Linked DNA regions of Lytechinus pictus. Each later gene encodes a partner of the first gene's protein in a complex. Links are inferred from orthologs where the notes say so. Each region holds a gene or a part of one and is shown in the gene's direction. Other genes may lie near its edges. The genes, in order: exosome complex exonuclease RRP42-like, exosome complex component MTR3-like and exosome complex component RRP46-like.

Region 1 (10,863 bases):
GCAAGAGAAAAAATAAAGAGGAAATATAGAGATCAAGTCAAAATTTAGGGGGAAAAATAGGAAAGGAAAAAACGAGCGAAATAAGAGAAAATATGTTTAAGAGTAAAAGGATCAAATTGTGGGAAACGATTCGGGTGATATATCCCCGCTGTCCCACAGGATATGTCACAATGTTCACCGTGAAGAATATTCAAATGTTAAGCTTCTGCTGAAATGTTTCAATTTCAAGATTTATTTCACTTGATAAAAATAACATATACAGGTAAATAAGAAATACATAATGACAAGAACAAAACAAAGTAACAAAAATGATAATACAGTAAATAGTGTACAAAACAGCTCGAGTGTGGACTGGCCTGGGGACTGGCATTAAAGATCTGTTGGATCTTAGAAGTTCCAGCCCAGTAAAGAAAGAAAAAGAAGGGATACAAAATAGAACATACAAAGACAAAAGCATACAAGGGAAAAACATACATTGATAAAGTTAAAATGAAGTGTTTGCCTTTCTAGGAAAATGATAGAAAATAGGTAATTTTTACCTATTTTCTATCATTTTCCTAGAAAGGCAAACTATAGGAAAATGATAGAAAATAGGTAATTACCTATTTTCTATCATTTTCCTAGAAAGGCAAACACTTTAAAGGACTAGCGTATGTGGAGGGTCACAGAAAATCGACAGATGAAATTTAGTGAGAATTAATAAGGAGAAGGGCAAACACAAAGATTACTCATGTTACTATTACTTAGTTGTTATTGGATGCGGACGTTGTTAACAGAATTACTTTGTACTGACGTTGAAAACTATTAAGGGATAAACTATTTTTAAGTGTAGGGGGAAGAGAGTTCCATATAATTTGGGACCGGCTGAATACATATTCTAGTTTTTTTAGTAAAAGTAGTATGGACGGAGGGCATGTGAAAATCAAATTGTCTACGACTTTGGTGAGAATGGGTAGTAGTATTGAGACAAAAATATACGTTGACCTCAAGGAGATGTATCTGGCAGGTGTACACCTCCCCCACGGAATCCTTTTATTTCCGTGCCCCCCCCCCCCCCCCCCCCCCACTAAACGTCTTTGCCGATGCATGCAGGCTGGCTGCATCATATCATGGACCTATTACGACACGTACCGGGTTACGTAACTTACTTTTGCACGTGCACTTTACCGTCGCTGTTGTTCGTGCTGAGACCGATCCAAACAGTCAAAAGACAAAGTTTGACTCTTCTTGTAGCTTCTTTAGATTTTTGACCTAAGATGGCTTCAGTTCAATTGGGAGAAGGTGAAAAGACATTTATAATACATGGAATTAAGGTAAGTGGTAATTTACTGTCCAATATTCCGTGTTATTTTATTTCAAGTTTTGTCTATTTTGTCTTGATATATGAGACTAGTTCAGTCCCATACGCTGATTTTTCTGTTTGTAATTTTCTCTAGCTCACACTCTGGCATAGACAGCTGGCAGCCGTCTGTTTCGAGGAGTTTTTTAACATTTTTTTATTTTTTAAGTTTCTCCTCATACACAGACGGCTCGCTATTGTGCAGCCACCATTAGGGGACTTACAATGCAAAATCCCCCTGTCGGGGCTCTTCAATTTTTGTCTTTAAAAAATAAAAGTTTAATGAATCAAACTTTTGTTATGAACACTCCTAGTACCAATGAGGTCCAACATTACATGTATGGACCTCATAGGCGACATCAGTAGTATTTTGTGTCAGAAATCTTTGTGAAGATGATTATTTTTGTATTTTATCAAAACTACAAGCTATCGTACTGTCTAATCATTACATTTCGATCTCACTAATTGAATACATTGTTAGCAATAAAAAAAATTGAAAGAAATGAAGGGGAACTTACATTTTCACGGCTTTTTCCTGATTTTCTGGGCAACTGCTCCTCTCTTCTGACTCGCGATCGAAGCTGATATGAAGATCACGTGATTCGCGTTCTCGTCAGCTGATCGGTTGGTTATTCTTTTCGTCAGACGTTAATAATATATATTTTATAATGCTAGCATTCATCGCTAATTTAGGTGAAAGAGATTGAAGTTAAACAGCGCCAGGTCGGAATCATAATTATTTTGGAAGAGTGTATTTATACACTCGATCTCATACCTGACGTAGACGGCGCTATTCAACAAATGCACAATCTTCAATATAAAAATAAAACAGAAAGAACGCCTTGAACACAGGCCAAAATGCCGAACGATTTCTCCGCGGCATTAACAACTATCGTAAAGGGCGCTCCATTTATCAATAAAGATGGACGCTAAGCTGTCTATGGCGACAAAATTTGCCGCAAATATTTACGAAGAATTGTGAGAAATGGTCTGAAAATGCAACAAAAGAACCGGTGAGTACCGATTAAACATTATTAAATTTATAAATAGATTATACATACCTTGTAGATTTAGTTTTTAAGGTGATATTAGTGCTTAGTTCTAAGCTAGAGAGGCCCAAACGCGCGTGAGTGGAGTCCCAGTTTATTAGCACGGGTAAGTATTGGGGTGTCGCCTAGAGTGGTTATGAAAATTAACCCGACCGAAATGCAAATTAATATTCCCTCTTGGCATTAATTGCCAAAAAACGGGGAAAATCAAGTTAAAAGGAACAAAAACAGTGACTTACCTCGGCTGTCGCGCAACTTCACTGCCCTGTTTTATCCGAACTTAATACACATAAACATATGGCCATTGACGATTGAGTCCCCTGTACACACCACTCCTAGTACCAATGAGGTCCAAACATTAACATGTATGGACCTCATAGGCGACAATGCGTTAAAAACAGGTTAGAACTTCTAAACGTACTGTTTCCTGCACCCAAGTATGATATTACTCCCAAAATATGAGTTTTGTCCTCGTTTGTTTATCATTTATTAAAAGATTGCCCATTAAATATATTCCTATTCCTAATTTGAATTTAATAAAATAAAGGGAAACTTACATTTGAGTCATTTTTCGATCTTTTTTTGGCAGTCAGTCCGGTCACCGTCGAGTGCGATCAAAGCGGTATGAAGCTGATTTTCAGATCACGTGATACGTGTGGTCATCACCTGATCAATCGACTATCCTTTTTTAAAGACCGCAACAATTATAAATTTTATTATAAAATATATATAGAATGAATAATTGCATGATATTATATATATTTCTACAATTAAAAATATTTTGTGATATGAATTTAATATTTGACGTAAAAATCGCTATTTAACAAAATATTTATTAAAAATAAAAAATCAAACAAAATAAAAACGCCTTGGACACAGTGCAAAAAACCTAACAATTTGGCCGCGTTCTTAACAACTATCGTAAGGGGCGCTCTATTTATGAATAAAGTTGCATATGTAGTTGTCTATCGCGACAGGAACAGCCGCAGAATTGAAGCCAGAAGCGTGGGAAATTGCCAGAAAATTCAAGAAAAGAACCGGTGAGTACCGATTTAACAGTACTAATTTATTAAGTAACATTTATTGAATCATTACAAGATTTATTTTTTAGTAAAACAAAGCTTAGTTCTAAGCTAGGGCGGCCCAAATGCGCGTGAGTGGAGTCCCAGTTTATTAGCACGGGTAAGTATTGGGGTGTCGCCTAGAGTGGTACACACCTGGGGCCGATTGCACGAAAGGGTCTTTCCAAGGACCGTCTTTCGTGTCGCCCATCTTTTATGATGCGCTATAAGCGGGGTGTTTCTGAAATTTATGATAAACAAATAAAATTCGTAAGCTAGCTTTTAAATCAAATTTTATACAATTTCATGAGATATCAGTTTTTATCACATCATTTTATAAAAAAATATTTTTGTTTATTCTAACGGACAAATAAAATATATTTGCAGATAATTTATTTGAAATGCGTTTCACATGGCGTATCATAAAAGATGGGCGACACGAAAGACGGTCCTTGCAAAGACCCTTTCGTGCAATCGGCCCTTGTTCACTGCAACCATCCTGCCTGTGGGGAATCTACAGGTAGGACTATGGTATGCCAATGCTGTACATAGCACATACTTTAAAAAATCATTAAAATATCACTTTTGTTACCAAAATTACTAATTTCCATACAGTTGCAATTTATTTTTAATTAGTAACTTGGGAATAATTTTTGTGTTCACCAGAGCGCTCAAAAACTTGAATTTTTGGCATATTTTTGTGTGCGCCCTCTATAGGTGGAAAGTAATATGGCAAGAAATTTTTCATTTTTCAATCTCTATTTTTAATTAAGAAAAAATAATTTAAAGAATCAAATTTACATAAGAGCCAAGTTATATGAGGAATAGATGTATCGGAAACTGACAGTGTAAAAAAATCAAGCATTTGTCCCACAGAAAAAGAGAAAATAAGCCAAAATTGCCACCCTTATTTTGCCACACATGGAGATGTAACTGAGAACAAGGTTATATCATAACCTTGTTCATTGAATGAGTGCCTGTACAGATCGCGCTAGAAGTTCGGTCTCTGTATTTGGTGAGTGAAGCCAACGGCAACGGAGTTCAGCTGAACAACCAACATAACTAATGTTGTAAATCGGATCAAAAATCAGATCGAAAATTGGATCGGCAGTTAAGCTTCTAAAATCGAAATCGAATCGGCGATGTTTAAAAACAAAGGAATACATCAAAATTTTGTTCGCGGTCGCGCGCATCTTCCTGACAAAGTCACAAAGACGAATGTTTAGGAATGGAAGTCGTCGACATGCGCGATCGTTTGGAACATGCTTTTAAAGGAAAGGGTTTTGAGGTTTAACTGCTTTACAATAAAATGAGTGATTTTTATTAGAAAGATAAACGAATGACGCATCTTCCGAGCAAAGTCGCAAAGGAAAATAATTGTCGTAGATCACATGTCAATGAACGATCGGCGGGACATCTTTTATAAGTATTTTTATGTGAAGCTGAGCTCAGCTAAGTTCGCTCATTATGATGTGTGATTACAGCCACGCCCAATAACCATTCCAAAGTACACCCATTTTGTTATAATAGCTTACTTGGTACATCATTTCTCCGAATCAGTTCTGGGAAAAGTTAAGTCACGCCTCAGTATCAATCTTTTTGTATACCGGTACTCACCCACTCAACAATATCAGTGAATTACGCAATGCGCGCAAGCATTCACACAATACAAGATAGTTTTGAGGCATAGCCGAGAACTGGAACCGCCCAGACTCAACGGGCTAGTGCAAAATTCTTTACACTACCTTTTGGCATGTGCACGTGGTGGGTTTGATTGACACTGCTAACAGTGCTATTCTTTGAGTTGGCTCACTGGCTGGATTAATGACAATATATCACTGCAAGTATGGCTTACATGATACATAAAACACGCAACACATCCATACACACTGCTCTCAAACTCCCTTGCTATTATTCGTCCCTATAGGCCATGTGTGCACTTATGTGCGGGATTTAAGCATGGCATTGACTAGCATATACAACACATCCACGCACCCCAGCATTCATATACCATAGAGCTGTTAATAGCTCCATGCATATACATTTCTCAAACTCGCTTGCTATTCGTCCATTGTGTGAACTCATGGGCGGGATTATGACAAAAATTAGCGCAAGCACTAGGTACGTAATACATACAATACATTCCTGCACCCACGCGGTCACACAGATCTCAAACTCCCTTGTCATTCGTCCATTGTATTCACTCATGGGCGGGATTTATCAGCGTAAGCACTAGCATACATAATGCGCACAACACAAGCAGTCACACACAGCTCTCAAACTCCATTGCTATTGTCCATTGCATTCACTCATGGGCGGGATTTATCAGCGTAAGCACTAGCATACATAATGCATGTAATATTCATGCAGTCACACACAGCTCTCAAACTCCCTTGCTATTGGTCCATTGTATTCACTTATGGGCGGGATTTATCAGCATAAGCACTAGCATACATAATGCGTACAACACATTCATGCACCCATGCAGTCACATACAGCTCTCAAACTCCATTGCTATTGGCCATTGTGTGCACTCATGGGCGGGATAAATGACAAACACAGTACAAGTACATGTTCATTGTTTGTATTATACAATACATTCATTCCAAGTTCCACTCCCACCATACCAGTCAGCGCAGCTACCGGTAGGTCATCATAAGTAGGTCAACCTTTTATGAGTCATTTCTGACATTCCAGGAATCTCGATTGTTCGAAACTATTCGATAAAAAAGCTCTAAATAGCTAGCACCTCCGCAAGAACAATCTTATATATTATACATATGAATATGTTCTGACCGCACTGTAACTAGATCTACAGGTATGCCGATTTTTTATATCCGATTTTTTCCTTCAAGGGGCATGATCGAAGATCGGCAAGTGATCGCCGATTGTTGTGAAATCGAATGGAATCGGTTGCCGATTGCAAAATCGGTTACAAGCTTAAACATAACAGAGACCGAAGCTTTTGGTCTAACTCTGGCACAGCTAGCCTGGAGGCGTCTGGGGAGTAAAAGTCATCTACTCTACGTAGGCTTACTCCCCACTGATGCCTGGGTCGCCAAGGTATATTCACGCAATCGCGCAATTTGCATGCTGTCGCCAAGCGGAAGACAAAGAAATCAAGATGGCGACGTAAACACGGCCGTAAGCTCTTCCCATCTTTTCATAACATTTTTCTCGTTTTTTTAATGAATTCTTCTTTAAAAACGAAATCAATATTGCAGAAATGTTGGAAATGAAGTTGAACCCCATGTACATGTTTTAGGGCTAGATCTTTTAGAGGGAAAGTATAAATCTCGGGGGCGAAAGTTTCAGGTTTTGTGGCCGTACGTGCGTGAATATACCTTTGCGACCCAGGCGTCAGTGGGGAGTAAGCCTACGTAGAGTAGATGACTTTTACTCCCCAGACGCCTCCAGGCTAGGCACAGCTGCACAGTCTGCAATTCAATCACCTTGTTTGAACTGTGTTGACAGGAATGAGTCTGTAGTAGACTAATAAATCCGCTGTTTCGGAGGAGTTTTTCAACATTTTCTGATTTTTTTTGTCCTACACAGACGGACGACGGCTTGCCTGGATTCTGGAGCAATTTACCGCAAATAACCGTTGGTGTTGCTTAACTACTACTACTACTAGTACAGGGACTATGGAGAAAGGGAGCGCTTTTGCACTCCTCGATTACTCCTAAATTTTGCTTTTTGATGGGGGAAAAAAGAAGAAATCATAAAGATAAATTTATATCAAATATAATCAGCCTACCACCTTTTTGAAGAATAAGCTGGAAAATAGCGAAATTTGATGACAAACAGATCAGGATCAGCCAGGTTCTTCTTCAATCGCCATCAGCTACAGCTGAGCGAACGGATTGGCTGGCACTTCGTACACTCAGCTGTAGCTGAGCTGACGGCGATCGAGCTGTCAAAGAACCTGATCCTGATCATATTGTCATCGAAATTCGCTATATTCCGGCATATTTTTCAGCCACATATATGAATTTAGAAATTTTAGGATCTCTTACCCTCTTGGATGACCAATGCTAAATATTCATTTCACTTTGATATCAGCAAAGTTAATTTTTAGGATTTATTTTACCTCTTTTACCTTTAGGATGACCTGCGGTCGGATGGGAGGACATGCCTGTCTTATCGAAACTTTGAATTGGAATGTGGAGTAGTGTCCAACACAAGTGGATCTGCAAGATTGAAGCTTTCAAACACACAGGTATGTTTAACTGGTAAATTGCCAAATGGGCTATTCCTGCTTTGTGTACTTTCATCCTAAACTGGGTTCCAAAAGAAACTGATCAAACTTTACAAAGGCACTGCACAGATTCCACTCGGTCAAAATGAACAATATTTTTACATAGGCTACATTCAATAATCTTTACCAAGCACATGACAATAATTAAGAGATTGGCTCAATCACAGAGAGGCTGTAGCCCTTCACGTCAATTGGACACAAAGTCACAAAATGACAAAAGAAAGACAAATGGAAATGAGATGGAATTAAAAAAACTTCCCAGCTTATTACACATTTCTTCGTGGGCATGTTTTAGTGATTGGCTGAATCACAAAGACGCTACAGGAAGTTTACATCAAAATTTTAAATGACTGGATCAATCACACAGAGATCCCCGCAGGCTGTCCCAGTAAGCGGGGGGGGGGGGGGGGGGTAATCTGAACATGGTAAGTATCTTTGTTTGGCTGTGTGAGATACACACAGCTATCATGGTGTTATATTGTTCAATTGAATGAAATTAAATGGAATGAAGTATAATCTTTGTGCTCAGAGAATTGACCAAAATCATGCATAGTAACTGATGGCTCAAAGATTCAGTTGTACTTGAAAAACGCTTGTCTGTTAATTGTTTTAAGTAGAATTTCTATCAAAACATATGTTCGAAATTCCTACTAAATTTTCCAGGTTATTAAAATTGGCAATTTGAATAGCATGATAGTGTGATGCTGCATCATTATAAATGTATCAGAATTTTCCACCCTTTGCTCTCTTGGTGTTTTTTCTTATGCTTTCACCCACCATAGATGGGTGCTGGGGGCATTGTGTTTTCAAATACTGACAAGGTCAAAGGTGGCAAAGGTCATTATTTGAAAATTTCAGAAGTAAGATGCATTTTGAATTCTTGATCTTGCAAATAAAGAAGCATATTTGAATGCATGCAGTCAAAAATCCACCTAGATCCTTTATCTTTGGCGTTATACTTATGTTCCTCCCTATCTTTTTTATTTTGAACACTTTTTTTCTAAATTTGTCACTTTTTTTCTTAATGTGTTTTTAATTGGAAAGGTTTTAGTTGGTGTTAAAGCTGAAATGGGACCACCTAATCAATTAAATCCTTCCCGCGGCACAATAGAATTCTTTGTAGACTTCTCAGCCAACGCATCACCCAAATTTGCCGGGCGGGGCGGAGATGAGCTGGCAGGAGAGATATCCAACATGCTCGGGCTTGTCTACAAAAATGAAAAGGTAGGACAACAGCATCTTCAAAAGTTAATTTCATTATGAAAAATCAGATTTTGTGTAATGGAGGTTGTTAACAGGTTTAATAACATACGCAGGAGATATTTGTGCTTGTCTGTAGATCAGGCTAAATATCTGAATATTGCAATTTATAGACTATTTACAAATCAACAAGGGTGTTCTATAAATGAAAGAAAAGTTTAATGAACTCTAGCGAGCCAAGTATCCTATAGTGTGTTTTCATGGTTGTCCTTTTAAAGGTTATCATGGAGCTGAAGGTGATTCACTTACAACTTAAATCAGTTTTAATCTAAATTTATCAATTTTATGAATTTGATGTACAGCTTTCTAAAATTGATTTTTGTGAGTCACAATCCCTGGTCACGAATTTACAGATTTAACAAAATATGACTCCAGAATTATTTTTTTAAAGATACTTACAACCCATGTTATAATTGGCCAGCCATAGTTCTGTGCAATTTCATGCTCAATTACATTGTGAGATACCTGTAAATTGAAGGTCAAATATGCATTTTCAAACAAATAGAATTTTGGATTTTGTAAAAGTTGTTTTATCCTATTTTGTAAATAAAGTGGCTATATATGCAAAATAAAAGACTATTCATGAAGCTGCTGCAGGAAACTTGTACTAGTAATCCATGCCTAATTCACCATTCTTTTGTTGCAAGCTGCAATTTGGCAATCGATATTAAATGTGAAATCGATTACAAGAATTATGATTGATTTGTTTAGAAAATAGCCTTGCAATTGATTGCATATTTCTTACAACGCGCTTTTAATTCTGATTTGATATTTTGGCTACTACGTATTGTGTGTAAGTAATCTTGCTATCAACATTAAATTTGCAATTAATTGCAGCAATTTGATTTTGTAAAAATGTCCCCATCACATGATTGCAGCACCCCTTATTCTTATTTTCCACTTTGGTATATCTTTTGCAGATGTTGGACTACAAATCATTGTGTGTTATAGCTGGTCAATGTGTATGGACACTCTATGCTGATATAGTTGTGCTGGAATGTGGAGGAAATCTCTTCGATGCTATTGCTCTTGCAGTTAAAGCAGCTCTCTATAATACAAGGTATGTAATGGGGACTGTTTCATGAAAGTTATCGGCTCTTGGCCAATAAAAAACCAAGGAAAGTTGCTGGATGTCAAATGTGGATAAAATGTCCCCCTGTGTCCAAGGGGAATTTAATGCATGCCTGAATCAGAGCAGAACAAAACAGTCTCTCCCCTCCCCCTCTCTCTAGTTTTCTTTATTTGACAACTTTTTAATGTCAGTTTTTGAATGGGGAGTTTTTGCTGTGATCGTCCATAAGTCAAATATGCTTACCATTACTAGCCTTAGTGCCCTCTGTTAGGGTTACACAACATTTGCTCCTGTGACCATTGCTCCAGGCTTAATTTCGTCTAAGATGTAGGGTTAGGGTTGCAATAGGGTGTTTATGTTAGGTTTATGGTAGGGTATAGTGTTAAACCCAGGGTTGAAGTTGGTCATTCGATTAGTGTGTGGAATTTAGAATGAAGCAATTGTCACTGGATCAAATATCATGAGACCTCTGTACATTGTTCCATGGTGATATTCAACAACTTTATTTGTGAAAAAAAACAAGCAAATAAAATAAATGTAGAAAAATTCGCGAAAATATTGGGGTTGGTCCGCAGATTTGTTGATTTGGGGGGTCAAATATCAATAAGAAAATAAAAGTTGAGTGGGCTGACTATGGTTGTTCGGGTCAATGCAAACATTTTTCTCTTCTAATTATCTGTTTTGCCGAATGGGATTTTTTCTTTTACAGCCGCTGTAAGATTGGGGTGCATTGAAAAGGGGATTGTCATCCTTGTCCTACTCAGTTTTAGTTCTGTTTATTTAATTTGTTGATTTATCTTGAGGATAAAAATATCTTATTACAT
Region 2 (10,244 bases), on another chromosome or scaffold:
GCCATTTTGAAAGTCAAAATACAATATTTAACACAAATATGAAACCCGAATAATATATTTCGTTGCAAATTATATTTGAAGACAGTATTCCACTAATTTACCACAAAAAATACGTTTTAGTGCTCACCTTGTGATTGTTTTTGTCCTCTCTCACATCGTAGATCATGATTTTAGGGCCTTTGGCGGTCATATTAAATATAAAAATACAGGGTTTATCACATACATGGCATGTTTAATAATATATTTCGTTAACAATAATGTTTTTAGTCAGTTTTTCCACTCGTTTATCTCAACAAAATGCATTTTAGTGCTCACTCTTGTGATTTTTGTGTGTCACCATTCACATTGTACATAATAGTGTTAGGGCTTTTGAAGGCCATTTTGAATATCAAAATACAGGATTTATCACATAACTGGCATAACAAATGATATATATCGTTAGCAATCATGTTTACAGACATTGCTTCACTCATAGATCATAATTACTTGCATTTCAGTGCTCAATTTTGTAAAAATTAATTTTCCCCATTTATATTGTACAGGGGTCTATGATGGCGGCCATTTTGATATCAAGAAAATAAATATTTTGACAAAAATCATTTTTCCAGATATTATTTCACTCCGGCAGCACAATTGCATGTACTTTAAAGCCAATGTGTGGACAATTTTATGACTTTCATGGGTAATTTGAATATTTTGGCGGCCATATTGGATTTTGCCAATTTGCAGAAAATGCTCAAGGTTACACGAGTGGCATCATTCAGATTCGGAATCAGCACCCTCGAATTGACAAGAAACCATACAAAAACATTGTATATATAAAAAAACAAGGTTCGACCCCTACTATCCTGGACTAATGCGTTATTTCATGAAGCTAAAAATGGAATTATTCCATGGACCATTCAAAAAAATATTCTCTACAATTTCAAAATAATTTACTCTGCAGTGCTGCCAAGAATCACGAATATTACCCCAGTTTGAATAAATGGTAGAGTGGTTTTGATTTTTTCTTCACATAGATACTAAGCATTCGGCGCATTTTTGGTGTTTTAAAAAGCACATTTGCTCTAATAAAAATGCTGATAGTTTAAAAAGAAGCACATGAACCCCTATTTTTTAATGTTTGTACCTCTTAGGTATACCTTCCTCTACAACTCTGCAAATTTTTGTGAAAATGACATGGATTTTGAATAAAGTGCAGCATTTATTGTACGTTTGTAGTTTGTTACTTAAATTTTACATTTTTTAGATTGGGATTTTGTTATCTTTTACGCCATTTTTAAGAACTGACAGTGCTGTTAAACTTAAAATTGCAAACAAATAGCATTATAAATAGATTCTCCATTCTAACGATACAATTATTAACTCTCTTGCGAAATTTGATGACTTTTTCATGTATTTTGACTGAGTAATATAGGTTTAAACTCATTATAGTAATCTTGGGCGGTCTAAAAATGCCAAATTCTTTTGAATGCGCAATTCTTAATAACATCAATTTGGGTGAACTTTGAAGCTCTATAGCAAAAAATCAAGCACATGGACCTATGTTAATTTTTGCATATTTCGAATATTAAGGTTCTAAAATATCTATGTGCAAAGTTTGGTGAAAATGACATGGATTTCACTTTAACTGTGGAACGTCCTTAAAATGTCCCTTTTTCTGATCTGAATGTCAAAAATTTTCAGCTTGCGCTTCACGCTCGCATCATTTGGTTAGTGAAATACGCATGGTCTTCGTGAATTCCTACAAGCAGGCCTTATAATGCCCCCTCTTCAGGTCTAAATTTTCAGCTCGCGCTACGCGCTCGCAATATTTGATTAGTGAGATGCGTATGATAATTATGATTACAATTACTACAAAAAATGCGTCATGTGTTTAGATGTAATTCTAACAAAATCAGCATGCGCTTGGCACTCGCATTAGATGACTATGGTGAGATATGTGTACTCTTAATGGATTCCTTAAAAACATAGTCCTTAATATATCCCAGTTTGGGGGTCAATATATACAAAAATTTCAGCTCGCGCTTCGCGCTCGCATCATTTGGTTTGTGAAAAACGTATGATCTTCGTGAATTCCTACAAAGAAGCCTTAAAATGTCCCTCTTTAGGTCTGAATTTCCTAAATTTTCAGCTCGCGCTTCGTGCTCGCAATATTTGATTAGTGAGATGGGTATGTTAATCATGATTACAATGACTACAAGTGCTTCATGTGTTTAGATGTATATTATTCTAACAAAATCAGCAAGCGCTTGGCACTCGCATTAGATGGCTATGGTGAAATATGTATACTCTTAATAGATTCCTAGAATATAGTCCTTAAAATGTCCCTGTTTGGGGTTCAATATATACAAAAATTTCAGCTCGCGCTTCGCGCTCGCATTGTTTGTTTAGCGAGACAGGTACTTATTATGATTACAAAAATTTGCTTATAATGTCCCTTTTTAGGTCTGACTTTCAAAAAATTTCAGCTCGCGCTTCGCATTATGTGATCAGTGAGATACATATCCGTTTAATGGCACTGTCCTTAAAATGTCTCTATTATGTCAACTGGTAACCGAGCGCGCTTTGCGCGCTCTCTAAGTGACTCAATTTTTTTGCTGGTACCCCCCAATGCCGTGACCCACGGTACGCCACTGATAGAGATTATGCTATAGATTGTGTTATCCATCGTCTAAATAAGATAATTAATAACAACAAAAATATTTATCTACTACCTACTGAAGTCCTAAGTAAAGGAAGTCTTGTGCGGTAAAGGACAATGAAACCATTAAAGCAAATTAGCTCGTGTAAAAGCATGAAAATCAAAGAAGGATCAACGAAGCTGAGCCAAACTGGTCAAGAACAACATATTTGAATGTCATGATCACTAGTGCTAATCGTGTCGTACATCCAGGACCCTTGGGACGATTTTTAATAGGGGTTTGGAAAAAAACAAGCAAAAAAAAAAAAAAAGGGGGGGGGGGTGATTCGCTGCAAAATTAGTGATTTCAATGTTCACATTGTAACGTATACGAATCTGATTTCCAGGGGGTCGTGCTGCCTATGTTGTATACCATACGCAGTACATGTACCTTCAACAAAAATCTGGCTTGTGTCATCACATCGTATTGTCGCGTCGGGTCGGGTTTTCACGAAGCCGGACGATTTGAGAAAAGCTAGGCCCCTAAATTTCCGAAAAGTTAGAGTCCAATTACCCGACCATTCGAGAAAAGTGCATCCTTATTTCCCAAAAAGGTCAGGTCCAGTTTACCCGATATTTTGTGAAAATTATAGTAAAATTCTAAAGTGGTCGGGTGAACTGGACCCGACTATTCGGGAATTTAGGTGGCCCTCACCTTTTCTCGAATTGCCCGACCGACGTGATAACTGGATCTGTGATGGAACAAGCGCAAAAGGGAGCAAACTGTCATTTCCAGGAGAAAGCTAGAAGAACATAATACACGTTTGGAACTTTTTTTTTCACTTTAGGTGCAAGAATGCACCCATCAAAAGAAAGTGCTTCTTTTTTTCTTAGTGTACATGATAAGCTCACGAATGATAGGTCCCATCATATTCCTCCCATTGAAATTAAGTTACAACTATATATTTCCTCTATACTTCTCATTTATTTGTAATTTAATAAATATGCATTATTGTTGTCGGATTTAAAATAATAATAGACAGTTCTTGTATATAGCGCATATCACATTATGAATAAAGACTGTATGCCCGTCCAAATGACTTGAATATTATTACCCCGGCTGTAGTTCATGCAGCCTTCCAGCGATCAGGGCATTTCGAGGAATAAATTCCTGCCAGGTACCTATTCACCTCACCTGGGTTGAGTGCAGCACAATGTGGATAAATTTCTTGCTGAAGGAAACTACGCCATGGCTGGGATTTGAACCCACGGTCACGACCCTCTGTTTCAAAGTCCGGAGACTAATCCACTGGGCCACATTGCTCCACCTATGTGAAATAAATTTCAAACAATGATAGGCCTAATGAAAATGAATTAAATGAAGTAAGCCTATACGATAAGTAAAAAAATTCCATATTTCTAGACCACTATTTCTGTCGAATAGCATATGTTTTTAATTGTGCATTTTGAAATCCTACATCTATACAATTAAGGGATAACGACATAGTTTACACTTTATGTACAGACATTGAAAGTATTATATAAATAATATTGCTGAAACAAAAATAATCGCTGGTTGAAATTAACTTAGATGAACATAGAATTGACGGGCGAGCGCAGTAAGTAAGCAAAAATAAAATCCCCATGATTTTCCTATGCTGAGAACAACCTAGACGATACTCAATGGCATTCATCTATTCTGTTCAGAGTTAGACAATGTCACAAATGACCTCTACTATCCAAAGATTTTTTTTAATGGAGAAGTTTGTTTTAGGCCTACTTATTTACATCAGACACTCACAAAATAACAAGAAGGTCTCGAAAATCGCTTTCGTCTCTCAATCTCTTTCTCTCACTTATAATTTCATTTATACTATTTATTATTTATAATTATTAATATTGTATCATAATCACTTTGTCTAAAGTTACTGTCACTCATTCGTTAAAACGTTTACATTCTGTAAAGTTTCCGTCCCCCCCCCCCAATGTTGCTGTATATGTATACTCGTTTTGCAAAATAACTGAAACCATAAGTTACAGGGCTTGCCTCTCATACCAGCATGGCATTTCTTGGTGTGTCCTCCGTTCTATTTCATTTACTTATCAGCCAAAATCATTTTAGTTCACCTCAATTCAGTTCATGATTTCTTCTATTTTATGTATCATAAATTATGATATTGAACGGAAAGTGAATAAAACTATCTCTAAATCTAAATATTCCAATAACCGATTTCAAAAGTGAATATCTCAATACCTGGATATCATGGAATGCATCACGAGCACATAAAAATGAGATATTCTATTCATCCGCTTTTTTTAGCCAATGAGGCTCGAAAATTAGAAAAGTCTAAAGTGAGTGTTGCTTCGGGTGAAATAATCCTCTAAGAATATAATGTCAGTAGAATCTAGATTTTCTTACAAATGATATATATTTTCACATATTCAATTTTTCTCTCCAAACTGTTCATTAGCATATTAATAACTCTCAAAGCTTTTAAGGACTTTTAGATGACTGCAATGCACTTACAATCAAAATGGCATTTTTTTCATTTTTGAATGAAGATGGGGAGAAAGAATATAAAAAGCGGAAGAAGAAGAGGAGGGAGAGGAAGAAGAAGAAGATGCTTCAGTTTTGATGAATTAAATAAGCATGCATGCATACAGTGCCCTTGATTCTGGACAAACGGCAATACAGTTGCAATTTTTCGCCAGGCCTAAAACTTAGGACCAAAGTGTTGTTCCGGGTCACAAATTTTCGATAAAGACCTCCCATGTTCTCTGTCATTTGACGGGCATATTTAATACATTTACTTTGTTTTTGAATCCTCCGCACATCGCTCATATTATGAGCGAAATGCTTTTGGTGTTTTCCCTATTATTTTGCTCAGCTAACTTTACCATATCACTGCACCCACGATCCTGAAATTTTAAACGAGGTTGACGAAGCTAAGCACTTTTTCCAAATTTAATATAAATTTGAGACATAACTGTTAAAAATGCCGACTGACACCAAGCGCATTCAAGGACCAGATGAATCGCAAAGCACCTTTTTGTATAAGAAACGGACTGATAAACTGCATCAACCGGTAAGTAGAGATCAAGAATCCCTTTCTATTGACTATTCTAACGTCACGGAACCGCTCATCTTCATTAATCATTGGCCGTGACTGCCGGCGTGGGTAACCATCGGAGTCGTGGTGAATTTTCAGTGCAGTTGCAGTTCGCCGCGCCGCAAAACTAATAGGCCTACTAATAGTAAACTTAAAGTAAGGAAACACCCGTTGTTAAACATTTGATAATGATATAATTGAAGAAATTACAGGGAAGCCAATTACAGTCTACAGATTTCAAGCACTCTGCAATTATTCATGGCAATGTCGGACTCGGAATGAAAAAAAAGAGAGCTAGAAATAGAATAGCTAGATTAGAAAGTAAAAAAGGGGCCTAAGCTTTCGATCCTAGCAGAATCTTCGTCGGAGGCAAAATGACAAACATATAAAGTGGAACAACCATAATATAGACCACAAACAAGCTACAGCAACACTAGAAACAAGGAGACAAAAGGCCGGGGCATTAGTGAGTAGAGAAGACCAATCGGGTTAGTGAAGGGGATGAAAGAAAAGGAGTAGGCAGACACAAAGGGAAGTTAGTGTAAGTAAGGCCAGTAAAAGACCTCAAGCCAGGAGGGATTAAAATAATGAGGCAGGCAACATCAAACAGGATCTGGAACAAAACAGTGATAATGGGATGAAAAACAAGAGAATTAGTGAGAGGTGGGTCAAACAGGTTACAAAGAAAGGCTTAATAAACTGGTGCATAAGAGTGGGGGAAAAAAAAGAAAAAGAATGGGGAACAACTGATAATGTGCAAAAGACATATAAGTATATATGATAAAGCATTAAACAAACTAAGAGAAGAAGGTAAGTGTAAATATGTATCTATAAGTGATATGTATATAAATATATCCAAAAAAGAAATGTATATGAAAAAATATATAAATACACATATGGTGTAACTGATATTGTAATCCGCTAGGTGTGACGGGAAAAAAACATAAGACTATATAGTAGGAAAAAAAACAAACAAAAAAACCTGTATATGTGAAAAAGAGGAAGCAAATTGCCTAAAAAGGTAAAAGCAAATATAGAAGAGAGGGGGTGTATTATGAAGAAACCATAGTATACATGTAAATAAGCAAATGTGGTAAATCTAAAAGAGGTGAGTGGAGAAAAAACAAATATATATATATATATATATAATAATTATTATTATATCGCCTGAATAAGGAAGGAAAAATTGGAGCTGAGCTTGTATGAGATATGGGAGGAAAGTAGAGTAAGAAACTATAATGTAACTATTCAAAAGAGCTGAGGGGAAAAATTATATGTATATATAAATTGAAAGTGGATAGGAAAGAAAAATCAGTCGTTCCCCTCTTGGATGTTCAGGCCATGAGGTTGGGTGGTGCGAAGTCGTTTCATCCAGAGCTTCTCCCTGCTAGTACGGACTGAGTCAGGACGGGTACCTAAAGATTCGATGCCCTGTAGCATCATGTCAGTGATGGAGTGGTTGGGGAGGTTAAAATGGCGGCCAACTGGAGTGTCCAGCTTTGCTGTGTTGACGGTGGATCTGTGCCCATAGAATCGTTTCTTGAGTGTGGTCTTGGTTTCCCCTATGTATTGTACCCTACAAACTCTGCAAGTGATGAGATATACAACATTAGTGGTAGTGCATGTGATGTTGCCCTTGATTTGGTGAGACAGGCTGGTAGAGTTGCTGGTGAAAGTATCGCCCTCGTGAAGGTGTATTTCACATATGATGCACCTGTTGCTGGTGCATTTGAAGGTGCCATGCTGTATGGGAGAAGAATGGTTAGTGAGGGAGGGCACTTCAGCACGAACAATGAGGTCCCTGAGATTCGGTGGGCGTCGGTATGCTAGAAGGGGAGTATCGGGAACGGCCTGTTGGAGACGATCAGAAGTGTGTAAAATGTGGTGGAATAGCTAGATGATAGATCTAACTCTAAGTTGATCATGAATTTGATGAAATGAATAATTTTTTTAATTTTGGTAGCCAAGTCTTATAAAGTCCAAGGCCAAGTAGACCAAAAAGCTTCAGTCTCTGTATTTGGTTGTTCTGCTGAACTGCGTGGCTTCTCACCAATACATAGACTGAAGTCAATGGAGGCCTGTACGTAAAGCTGTAACTTTTACTTTAGCAGTAACGTTAGATCTAACAAGTAACATTCGGCAAAAAACCGATTTTCAGATCGTTTTTGTACATAAAATATCCCATTTACAAAGAAGAAATTTTACATCCAACTTGACAAAGAAATATATAACATTAAGAAATGTAATACTTCAGACCGCAGTTACCGCTAATTCCCTTCAATTGATAAAAACATAGTCATCCTCGATCCTTTCGTTGGTCATCGTAAATTGCCATCTTGAATGACGTCATCATCCTTACAGACGTCTTTACCAGTCGCCATATATCATGATTTATGCCGCTGCATAACGCTTCTCGGAATTTGTCGCTCCCATATCGAAAAGTCTAATCGGATAGCTTTGATAAAAGACTATCTCAACGAACGTTTTCCCTCTCCGGCAAAAAATTTGTAAAAATAAGGAATAAATCATCAGCAACATATATTTTCTATCTTTTATTTCATATTTCGTAGTATCGAAAGAAAGATTAGAGTCTAACGAAAATAGTGCGCAATCGTTCAAGATAATGTAATATCATTTAGACCTCAAGAAAATAAAAATATAGACAAAACAATATAGGCCCGAATTGGGAGAAATGATTACACATGAGAGCTCGCACTTACGTACTTCCGTTGGTGAATGGGGATGATAGTAAAATGTCAGAAATTGTTGAATAAATCCCCAGAAACAACAGTTATTCCTGTCTAAGCCCAAGGCAGGAGCACTATGATATTTCTACATGTATGATAGACCTAGATCTATTTGTCTTTTCATCAAGGAGCCTAGACACTGGCCCTAAAGACCTGTGTGTCGAACGTGGTAAACAATGATGGAGTTTCCTAAAAAATCCACCACATTAATTTTGGAAAAACGCGGAATAAATCAGGTTTTGAAGCCTTTAGTAGGACCACAAAATTTAGAAAGCTCTGAATTTGTAAAAAAAAAAAACACAAAAATAATCTTCAAGTCCTAAAACATGATAAAAATTACTTAAAAGTTACAAATGTTCCCTATAACTTCTGAAAAAGTAGCAAAATAGATCAAGTTTATGTGCCAAAAATACATATGGTACCTCACTGTACACTCCTTACTGTAGGTTAGTGGCCAAAAATAGTCTTTATGCTGCCCTGGGATTGTGTTCTCTTCCTGGAGGAGACGTGGAAACATCACATAGATAGACCATCAACTCGGCTGCCAGAAAATGTGAAGATACCACTAATATTCTTATTGCGTATAAAGGCTTCACTTCAGAAAAAAAAGAAAAAAAGAAATTACAAGGTTTCTTACCAGACTGATCGCTTAATTGCAGCTACAAAAATGCTTCCACACTTTATAACACAGAGGCATGACCTTTGACTCGTTTTGCGATGATGTAGGGACGATGAACTTGGTGTGGAGGCAGTGTTTGTAACACAACAAATTATTATTAAACAAATAATTATTATTTGCATACGATTCACATTTTAGAATTATCAATTTTTACATAATTACTTACAACTGAAATGTGAATTGTATACAGATAATTATTTGTTGTACGGATTCAACCTGGGGGACTTGTTATAAATGTAAGATATATATGTGCGGCGGTTGAGACCCCCATTTTCAATCTAATTTTTAATCGATTCGGAGACCGCTGATTTGTTCATTGGGCAGAAACATCATGCCCGATTTCATGCATATTCATGCAATGCTCCGAAACACTGAATTTGTGCTGTTCCAGAGCATTGCATTTTTAGAAATCGTTGATCCTAGAGCAGTTACAGAGACCCCCATTTTAACACAGAACTTGAGTTCCAGAGCCCCCTAATGGGCCCTATTTTCATTTTTGGTGCGGCACATAGGTATCATGTTATAATTTGAGCCCCCCCCCCCCCCCTCCGGGGAGTACAATCTTGTACTTTCTAGCTAGAAATTGGCATTTGATACCTTCATGTTTCTTGTTAATTTTTCAATTACCTGTAGCTTCTAGAGGAAGGAAAGCGACAAGATGGAAGATCACCTGAAGAAATCAGACCAATATGTAAGTATTTGTTTTTTATGATGTTTGTATTTAAGCTTGGAAATTTTCAGAATATCCAATCAGTGAAAGCATGGTTGATATTAATTGTCTTATGGTCAGAAGAATATAGACCATACCTCTCCTATTATTATTAGAAACTGACATCATCACATAGTTAATTCTGATTATCTTGTATTTTCCTACTTCTTGTAATGTTTTCTTAAGGTCATATACACTATTGTGTAAACACTTACTATGTCTTCCCACCTACCATTTTTCCCTCATCTTTGATTTTCAGTTCTCAAAGCTGGGGTTGTTAGTCAAGCGAAAGGATCATGTTATATTGAAATGAAGAACACCAAGGTCATATGTGCAGTGTATGGACCAAGAGAGGTGCCAAGGAGAGATGGGTTTG
Region 3 (10,676 bases), on another chromosome or scaffold:
AATCTTATTTAATTCATTATCATTTTAATTTTCTTTTGTTTTCATATTTTTATTTTCATTCAGATTAATTTCTTATCTCCATTTGAGCATGGCAATACTTACTGATCTGAAGTCGAGGGGCCCAACAATGAACAGACTTGCGCTGAGCCGTCGAATATCTGTGGTTCCAAGAAAGCGTGATGGAAATGCCGCCTTAAAAAAACCAACCCCACCTCTGCCTCTGGGCTTTGTTCTTGGCGATCCTGCATTCCATTCAGACTGCAACTTTAAGCAGGAATTGTTCTACCAACTACTTAATTATTCACAAATGTGAATTGCAGCTTTTAAATGGACAAGAAAGAAACAATTGATTTATCTCACCCCCCCCCCCAACTGTCTTCTAACATTTTCTATCACCCCAAACTAACACTTTTTTTCTTGTATGTCTGTTTAAATATTTTTATTTAGACTTTATGTAATTTTTTCATGATTTATTTGGCACATGCAGTAGAGAAGAGAAGGAACATAGTGTTAAAAAAGGATACACATACAGATCTGAATATTAAAATAAATTTAAAAAAGAAATGACAAATCCACACTGACACATGAAAGTATTCATTTTATTTTTTTTCCTTGTTGGCATTGGTTACATTAATTAACTCCACATAAAAATATAAATTGAATATTTTAACAGTATTAATGAAGTTGCTCAATGAAATTTAAAATTAGGTATTCTCATTGGAGGTAATGGTTGATACAGATGGGTGGGTGGACCTGCAGCCACTAGCGTACCTATGGGGGGGCAGACTGCCCCCCCCCCGACGAGTCACAACCCATGCAAGGGACGTATCCCTGCCCCCCCCTGATGAGCCACCGGTGGCCCCCTCCTTTGAAGTTTAAGACCTTTTTTTTGCTTGTAATTTTTTTTCTGGTGCGAAATGTACTTAATAACCTGTTGAGGACCTTTTTTTTTTTTTTTTGCTTGTAATTTTTTTTTCTGGTACGAAATCCTTTATTTGTGGTTGAAGACTTTTTTGCTTGTCAAATTTTTGGGCAGACGATTTTGCCCCCCCCCTGTGGAAAATCCTAGGTACGCTACTGCCTGCAGCTCTATTGTTTTATTAGATTTTCATTTTTTTATTGCTGGGGGGGGTATTATGTAGAGATGAGGCAAGATTCAATGTACAGCTCAATATGATGCATGTAAAGTGATTTATTAAACTTTTGAAATATCAATTAAGAACTGGAATGATCAATGATATGAATATAAGAAATATATTAAATGCATGTAAAGTGATTTATTAAACTTTTGAAATATCAATTAAGAACTGGAATGATGAATGTTATGAATATAAGAAATCTATTATATGCTAGTTCATCACAACTTTAGCTGGATCTTGCTGCAGAAAGTGCATCGTGTAGTTCTACAAATATCTCGGGTGAGAGGCAGTTTGGCAGAGCGGATGCAATGCTTCATAGGGCCCCTAACATTTCTGTGGTAAGGTCGAATCCAAACTGATGTTTTCATCAAATGATACAGCCTCCTGGCTACAAAAATTTCCTGTAGATGAAAGAGAAAACAAAATAATGAATGCAATGAAATTGGGAAAAAGTGAGGCTAGAGGAGCAAAAACAAAAGCAAATGGTTGTAAAGTTAGTACAGGAGAGGAACAAAATGAGAAGAAAGGAACTCACAGAAAAGGAAACAAAACAGAGAGACAAACTTGAGACTAGCTCCTTTAAAAAAAGTTCTGTATGGTGTACTATGGATCTGTAAAAATATTTCAAAATTATGTAAAGTTTCAAGGATTGAGCATGCATAGGAAATCACGTAAAGGCAAGGATATCAAGTCACGAATAAAAACAAAAAATGAGGGGGGAAAATGGGAATTACATCACCCCCCCACCCCACCTCTCTCAAAAAAAAAAAAAAAAAACGACTTTAATAACTTGTCAAAACTCTATCTAGTATCAGCTTATGTTATTATCCTTTTTGTTATTGTTAGGGATCGAGAGAAAGGATGAACGCGGGGGGGGGGGGGGGGGGGGTGCATTTTTCGGTTTCATACTTTCAAGCATCAGTGTACTGAAGGGGAAAATGTAACATAGGACTACAAAAAATTGCGGTGGACAGACAAGAAACAAGAAATGATGATTAAAATGAAAGAAAAAATTCTCGTTCTCAAAACAACTTGAAAAAAGAAAGATGCAAAACCAAATGTTATCAACTCACTTACATATTATATTTGAAATCCATCCCAATGGTCTTCCATGTCGTAATTGTGCACTGTAATTCAGATAATCTAGTTAAAACATGTGAAATTAACTTTAAGTCTCAAATCAATCGTCTTGCACACTGTGCCTTGCAAAACAACAACAAAATACTCCGATATATGCGTATCATGAACACACATGCATATTTATGAGCGCCGCGAAAATGACCATTCACAAATGATGCGCACTTACGCTTCGTCACCATGCCGCGAGAAGCGTTTATGCGCGATGTAAAATCTCCGCCCCGAATTGGCAATCCCCGAATGCGCATGCGGGGTGGTGATTGATACTCGATGGTCGACAATTCGTTCGGAATGGATAATACTTAGAAATCTTTTTTTTTTTTAATCATAACTTGAGTTATTCTTCATCATATGTCTTAATCAATGCATCATCGTAATGGGTGACACATTGTCTTTATGTTGAGGTAAGTTTCAACAGATTTGGATGAAGATTTGAATTATCAGTGGCGTACCTAACACTGCTATTACTATCTTTTATCATGAAAAGATAATGTTGCTCGTTACGTAATCGTTGGGCCGATGGGCAAGCCAGACAATTAAAACCATGCGTAATCTACCTAGAGCTGAGGGCCTGTTTCATAAAGACCTGCAACTGTTGCCATTATGGCAACTACCATGGAAACCTTGATTCTGATTGGCTGCTGAGCCCTGTTACCATGGTAGTTGCCATTTATGGTTACAACAGTTGCAAGTCCAATATAAAATGGGCCCTGGACTGCTACACTACTAGAACCATCACCTGTGGTCAGAGGTAGCTTACTCAGCCCAGTAGTGATGTATTCAGTATTTTTAAGGGGTTAGCTCATCTGCTGAAGGTTAATATTTTAGGGAATTTTTCCATGTCAGGAAAACTTGTGAAAAGTTTGTACTTGGTTATTTGCTATATTGTCCCTCCAAAAAAAGTAATCCAAGAGGAGTTTTTATTAGAGGTTGGTTGGAGAGAATGGTAAGTTTAGAATGAATGGTGTATTTTGGGGAAGTAGATCTCTGCGGGCTAGCCAACAGTCAGTTGTCAGAGGGGAGAGTTCATTCCATTAATGTAGAGTTCATATAAAAAGATTAATTTGCAAGGAGTCCAAAGTTGTATGTTGCTGTTGGAAATGTATTGTAGCCTACGTTCTCTTCAACCTACGGCTTGTGTGTGTGATGTGATCAGCTACAGCCTGGTTAAACAAATATCAACTGCAGTACTTGGTTGCACTATACAAATGGGCCTATTAGTAGGATGTAAATAAATGCACTCTCAGAGCTGTGGTGCCTTCTTCTAGTCCTTCAGAATGGCAATGAGGTTAGCACCTTTTCCACATATCCTGGATACCCATCCCCGTTTAGCTTCCAGTATTGTCTCAGATGTAGAATTAATAGCAGTTATAATAAGATTTTTTTAATGCTAAACAGATGGAAAAAAAAACAGTCAAGTGTCAACCTTATTTTGAGTGTAAGGGTTCCATGGTGCTTTACAATGGACAAATACAGTTCTTTAATGAACAGAGTGCACAAGTTAAAATTCCTCCTAATGAAGTTCAGGACTCTAGTTGCATCTAGATTCATTCAAAGGTTGGTGGACTTTGGGAATCTACTCTCTGATGGTTCGTTCCATGTTCGTTCAATGACTAACATTTTTTTAATGAGAAAACAGACATTTTTCAAACTGTTGATTTCAAATTTTGCCAATTCATAGTTTCATCATTCATTCATTAGCAGACTAATGCTGTCTCTGGCTCTATTTCACTTACATTTACACTGCTAAAGAAAAACCCAAACCAGCAAAAGATAACTTGTTACTTCAAGTATCTAGGGGAGTTGAGCAGCAGGTGAAAAGGGCCAGTCTTTTTATTTTGCTCCATTGACCTTTTCATGTGGACAAATGGGAGGTCCATGTTCTTAAAAAAACATTTGGGGGGAGGGGGTCACTTGTGCTAATGAAATGACTGTTGTTTGATGTTGTTTAATCCTTATTTTTGAAATCCTGTTCTGCAGGTTTTGAGTCTTTGGCAGACTTGATCTCCAGGTAATAGTCATGTGCCGGATTTACTTTAACGACCCTTGCATTAGAAATGCTACACTTGTTATTAGCATGGAATACAAAAAAAATGTATCTGCTCTTGAATTGCAAGTTGTATGAATTATCGACTGGTGTAACTTGGATGACCCAAACTTAAAGTACCTCTGTTTTCCTGGCATTTGCTCTCAGGCTGTATCAATTGGCATTCATCAGTGTTCTTAATCTGCAAGTAAAAGTCATTAGCTGGTCATACGTTAATGAGCTTCACTCACTTCGACTCTCAGCATGTTTGTATCTTATCTTGAATCGCCAATTGCCTTGATCTACAAGTAAGAGTCTTTAATATTGCATTTGCTCTCAGGCACCTCTTTATCAAATTGGGATTCATCAGTGTCCTTGATCTGCAAGAAAGAGTAATTGGCTGGTCGTACTTTAATGAGCCTAACTTTAGAAGTGCTTCTGTTGTAATCACATTGTTTAAGGGAACAATATGAAGGAGGATACTCAAAATTACTTCATATTAAGAGAGACCATTACAAAGTCTTCTCTATTGGCAGCAGGTTGAAAGGCCTGGTCTTTGTGTTATGCACTGTTGATTTGTTCTTTTGGACAATTTGGGGGTCCATGTTTGGGATTGATGAGTTTTTCTCTGAATTTTCTCCTTGTCTGCTGTTGCTGAGGTTAATCTTTGATGGATCAAAGGCAGGGCTAGATGCTGGCTCCTTGTACTTCAATTCATTTATATTTAGATATTCCAATATTAATATACAAAGATAATATGGGAAGTGCATCAAGAAGTTTGCATATATGTCAAGCAAGGTGCTGCCTTTTCAACGAAAAACAAAACAACATTACAAAACGAATTGGTTACACAGAACATACAACACATAATACACTGATTACAACAAAAAACGATTACAATGTACAATAATAGAATACTACTTTTAAATGTGTGTCCCAGTCTTGGATCCATCTTATTATGCTGGACTTGAAATGCCATTTTAAAGGATCTACAAGAGGTTCAAGATCCTTGATCTTAGGTGTTCTTGCAATGTTTGTGGTCAAAGTTGAACACTTTGACTCAAATACAGTACTCATGATCTCATAGGAAACAGATTTTAATTCTGGAATATCATTGTTTATCTGGGGAGGTTAAGCAACAGGGGCCCGTTGCAGAAAGAGTTGAATTAAACGCAACTCTAAAAATCATGTGCAACTTGATTTTCAACCAATCAACAGCGCGCATTTTGGACTTGCGATTGATTTTTTGACTTGCGTTTAAACGCAACTCTTTCTGCAACGGACCCCTGATCCTTTACTGGCTGTGGTTTGCAAAGGCTTATTTATAAGCTGATTTGATAGGGATCAGTCACACATAATTGGTTACCCTAAAGACTGGGAAAAAATACTTAGGCCCGTATTCTGAAGTTGGGTTTAACTTAGACCATGGTCTAACTCCGTGCTAAAATTATGTGAAGCCAAACATTTCAAAATTTTGTTTACAGTGAATGCTTCTCATTTTAAGTGTGCTCTTCACTAATTATCTAATGCCTTCCCAGGCAGTTAAAATGTTTTGGGAGTCAAATGAGCTGATACATTGAACCTCTACTGTTGGAGATTAAGTAACAACTGACTTTCCATAGTTAAACCACAACTTAAAACCAGAGTTTAAATTAAACCCAACTTCAGAATACGGGCCTTAGTGAACTTTTGGTTGATACAACATAGCTCTTGAGTCACAAGAAATTCAGATATCTGCTACTTCGAGTAGCAGAGCTGCCAGAGTTACAACGTCCACTTGATTTTAAAGATATCAAGAACATTTTTTGTTTTCTAGACATAATCCATATATAATTGCCAATGTGATTAGCTGTCATTTTAAGTGGCATTGAGCAAGATATTCTTTTTCCTTCGATGTTTTTGTACTGCAGGTGATACATCAGTAATGGCTGCAGTTTATGGGCCTGGGGATATCAAACCAAATAAGGCTCTCATGGACAAGGCAACAGTAACAGTTACATACAAACCAAAAGTAGGAATGGCAGGTAAAGAAATTTCTCAATCAATTTTTTTCCTTTTTTTTTTCTTTTCCAACTAATGCTTTGGTCACATTTCATTGTCAATACTTAATAAAATGTTTTACAATATTACATTCAATTTTGCGTGCATTGTAAATGAATACAGTTTTCAGCACATTTCTTCATTTTCACTGTATCTTTGTTCATTATATTTCTTTTACACATCCTAGGAGAAATGTAGTACATACTGCTATTGACTGATTAGTGGTTTCCTCATCATCTATACTTCAATCATACATTATTGTTAAGAGATCATAACATTTTTTTGGAAAGTTAAGGCTACGTGGAGATCATGTAGTGGCCTTGTATTACATATGCAGTAGGAAGGAGTAACCTGTGAAAGGGGCCTTTTTTGCACGAAGCCTGCAAGTGGACTTTCATTGCTAATCATCGCATTTCATCAAAAATCACCACCAGAAAGTTATGAAAAGCTGCATAGCTGGATTATAGCTAGATTCTGGCTAAAAGATGCAGTATAGCCTTTTGACAAGGTGCTCAATATATACTTTCAACAGACCCCAGCCATCTTATTTATAATCTCAAATACATTAATTATTACTCATCATGATCGTATGATGTGGTTTTTTTTTTCATCAGGTGTAAGAGAGAAAGCCTTGGAGAGGATGATCAGGAATACCTGTGAGACGGTCCTCTTGACCACACTCTTCCCACGTTCTTCTGTTGATATCATCATCCAGGAGATCCAAGATGCAGGGGCTGTATCCTTAAATTGACACACATGGGTCATGATCTGAACTCCAGTAGAATTTAAACTCTCATTTAACGATGGGTAGCCAATTGTGACACAAATCTCTAACAGTACAGGGTCAATTTACCAGCTCATCTCTTACTCAAATAATTGATAATTTTCTTAAAAGAATAACTGAAATAATTTCAATTACCATTAAAGAATGGGAAAAGAGCACAGTAAACAAAAGAATTGTACAATGTAAACAAATTTTGCACATTTAATTTCAAACTTGACTTAAGAATACAGAACATTGTGCACTATACAAATACCCTATTATTGTTATTTTAAGGTAATGTGTTTTTTAAACACATGTGGACAAGGCTACCTTTCTAGTGGCTTTAATTGCATGAACATAGAACTTGAAAACAAGGTTCCTGTAATGCTTCCAAGATTGGTCCATCTGTTCATTACTAGCCTGCTTTCCATCTATTTTGCAGGATCACAATGATTTTTATAAACTTTTTGGATAATAGATTATTTGAAACCGTATTCAATTGGATCAGATTAATTGGTATTTCATTTCTTCACAACATACATTTCTTTAAATTTGCTTTTGATTTAATCTCCACAAACAATGTATCTACTTTTCCTTAGGGCATTTTCATGGAAACTGACGTGACACGGCACAATTTTACACACCTTTCATTGTGTGTATCTCTAAAACAACAAATGATGGGAGTTTGCTTTTGATAGAGTTAATAAAGTGAACCTTGCTGTATACTTTGATACTAAGTTTTTCATTGTAACCACATTTGTAACGCATCAGCAAGCAAAAATGTGTCGGTAACTGACGTTACACAAAAAGGACATGCAATTTCAGGGTGTTCAGTAAAATTGAAAGATCTCATGTCCCTGAGTAGATAGAGTAATAATTTGAATATGTGAATATACCTTTGTTACTAGGTTAAGACGTGTCAAAATATTAAATAATTTGCTTTTGTCTTTTGGGGGCTATGATAATTTTTCCACGACCATGCTGGTAACTGACATTACACTTAATTTGCCAGGGCTTCACATGAAAGTGAGCTTGATGTGGAAGTATACGTGAGTTTCTAGGAACATTTCAATAAAAAAAACTTTTTCGTTTTCTTAATTAATTTTCTTTGATTTGAATATTTTATTATTACTTGTCGGTAACTGACATTACACATGAACATCTACCAGTGCTATATGATTTTCAAAGGCATAATTCTCTTGGTACTTATATGTAAGGCTTTTTAAAATCATAAAAGTTTCATAATACTTCACATTTTTAATTGTCAAAAGATAAGAAATGTATGTTTTACTTACTCGGGGGGGGGGGGTCATAGCAGCTACATGTATTCCTATAGTAATTCAATTTTGTATTGACTGTACACATGGATTTTTCTGACTTTACACTCATTTATATTCATCAGTTTTATATTGACTTTTTAAACCTTTTCCATCTCCAGCCTCCCCCTCCCCTCAAAAAAGGCGAAATGAATAAGGGTCTCCTATGCAGCCATGCAGTGTTATTGATTTCTATTCTGGTCAGTGCAAGCAATGCTTGTTCATATCTGTCGGATTTCATTTCTCTTCATAATTTGTTTAATCATTCTCTTTGCTAATTTCTTTTTTAAGCTGTCAACAAAAAATAAACTCCAGCTTCTAAACTGAAACTGAACTATTTGTAAATTAGAAAAAAAAAACACAGTTTTAGTAGATCCATGCAACATTAATCAGAACTGTCAAATTTCACTTTTCAGCTATACTTGTAAACCAAAAACAAAAATTGTATCACACATCCACACTACTAACAGGTATAAAAACCAGGAATTTACTTTTAGCCCGGCAATGCTCAAAAGAATCCTAGAAACTAATAAACGGGCCCTGGAAACCCCCATTCATAAAAGCTTATCAAATGTTGCAGATTTAGGTAATAGGTTGGGAAAAGTACCCCCTCCCCCGAAAAACGAAGAAAAAAAATTGTCTGATACAAACAATTAGGTACTTGGTAAGTGCATGTACATACGCAAAACAATTTCATAGTAATTTTTTTTTGCACGATGGGAATGCAACTTCCTTCATAATTTTATATAGTATTCCTTGTGAACTATACCTTTTAAAAGTCAATAGCAAGCTCCTTCTGGTGTGACTTTTAAACTAAGTGAAAGACTACTGTATAACAAGTATACAATATTTCTTCACCATAAAATTGACCACACATTTGCATTTCACTACTGGTAACCAACGTTTTATCATGGTAACTGACATTACATCTCGGTAGCTGACATTACATTTTCCTCTTGGTAACTGACGTTACACATATTTAATGGTACCCTATGGCTTGATTGTTAATTGGTAATCTTTAATTTTGGTGTAGAAGGGAGGGGTGTTACCTAGAGAGGAAATCTACCAAGTTTCATATACCCGTAATATATCCTCTTTTCTGGGAAATGAGAAAAAAGAGTTCATGTTTTTTGGTAACTGACATTACATACCATATCACATACTTCATCAATGTTTGTTTATCAGATAAATGAATTACTGGTGTCTCTTTCTATGGGATTTTAAAAAGTGTTATAATAGCAAGCTAAATCACAGGCGAAAACATGGTCAAACCTATTCTTTAAAAATCTGTCAAAACAAAATATGTATCAATATACTATTTTTAACACTAATTTGTATCCTTACTTTGGCAGCCATTTTGAAATGAAAATTAAATGGCTGCCAGAATCGGAAAAAAAATTTGTCCCAGAAACTACAGGTCTTGTATTATTAAAAAACATAAAGCATTTGACATGAATATCAACTTGATTTTTTTGCCTCTGTGTCCATCTGTGGTGAAAATGCCCCGTACTGTATCTTTCAAAATACAAAATTATCAAAATGTTCCCTATTTTCATTTTGGGAATTAAAAGGTTAAGAAGTTTGAATTACTCAGATTTATAAGTCTTGGAAATTAACATTTTTTTTTGTAAAATCAGGGAACTTTTACAATTTAGATACCAAGATTTGAATACTGTATTTTTCTTGACTTTGAATAATCTTTAGCTGTTAGCATGTTGTATCAACGCAGCTTGCTTGGCCATGATCAACGCAGGCATCCCCATGAAATGTACTGTCGCAGCTTCCTGTTGCATGATGGGTAAAGATGAGGACCTTGTGGTTGATCCAACCAAGGAACAGGCAAAGGTATGTCTGATTATTCCATTTGATTTGATGTTATAATACACATTTTCAATAGGTTCTAGCATGGGGCTCAATGGGTTGTACCAAAAATATATATATACAGCAGGCAGATTGCCTTGTTGAAAATTATGATAAAGTGAAGTGACATGAATGCAACTATTCTGGGCGCAAATTGGTTACATTTACATCGCTGAGAACATCTAGTCTGCAGGCATACCCTTGGTTTTCGCAATTTGCACAGTGCATAATGCAGAGTCTGAAATAGTGAGTCTAGATTCACTATGTACTGTGGCTGACTGACAGAGGCTTTGGCGTCTAGTCTTAACTCTAGACCTGTTATTGGTTAGAGCATAACATCATTGTCTTTATTCATTCCCGCACATGTTAGTATGACTGCATATGTTAGCATTCAT

What was found.
Region 2: exosome complex exonuclease RRP42-like (region 1) and exosome complex component MTR3-like share a complex: the UniProt entries of both Homo sapiens proteins name them as parts of the RNA exosome core complex. The link is inferred for Lytechinus pictus from reciprocal best matches to the Homo sapiens genes EXOSC7 and EXOSC6.
Region 3: exosome complex exonuclease RRP42-like (region 1) and exosome complex component RRP46-like share a complex: the UniProt entries of both Homo sapiens proteins name them as parts of the RNA exosome core complex. The link is inferred for Lytechinus pictus from reciprocal best matches to the Homo sapiens genes EXOSC7 and EXOSC5.

Annotation. Positions count from the first base shown.
Region 1 is NC_087246.1:61,515,667-61,526,529, forward strand, and holds the start of exosome complex exonuclease RRP42-like, read left to right. Parts: upstream 1-5,945; 5' UTR 5,946-5,998; coding exon 5,999-6,094; intron 6,095-7,554; coding exon 7,555-7,668; intron 7,669-8,751; coding exon 8,752-8,931; intron 8,932-9,887; coding exon 9,888-10,027; intron 10,028-10,863. UniProt on the Homo sapiens protein: Non-catalytic component of the RNA exosome complex which has 3'->5' exoribonuclease activity and participates in a multitude of cellular RNA processing and degradation events.
Region 2 is NC_087245.1:11,453,349-11,463,592, reverse strand, and holds the start of exosome complex component MTR3-like, read left to right. Parts: upstream 1-5,370; 5' UTR 5,371-5,619; coding exon 5,620-5,709; intron 5,710-9,792; coding exon 9,793-9,850; intron 9,851-10,127; coding exon 10,128-10,244. UniProt on the Homo sapiens protein: Non-catalytic component of the RNA exosome complex which has 3'->5' exoribonuclease activity and participates in a multitude of cellular RNA processing and degradation events.
Region 3 is NC_087251.1:26,027,072-26,037,747, forward strand, and holds the start of exosome complex component RRP46-like, read left to right. Parts: upstream 1-6,182; 5' UTR 6,183-6,226; coding exon 6,227-6,326; intron 6,327-6,956; coding exon 6,957-7,078; intron 7,079-10,125; coding exon 10,126-10,266; intron 10,267-10,676. UniProt on the Homo sapiens protein: Non-catalytic component of the RNA exosome complex which has 3'->5' exoribonuclease activity and participates in a multitude of cellular RNA processing and degradation events.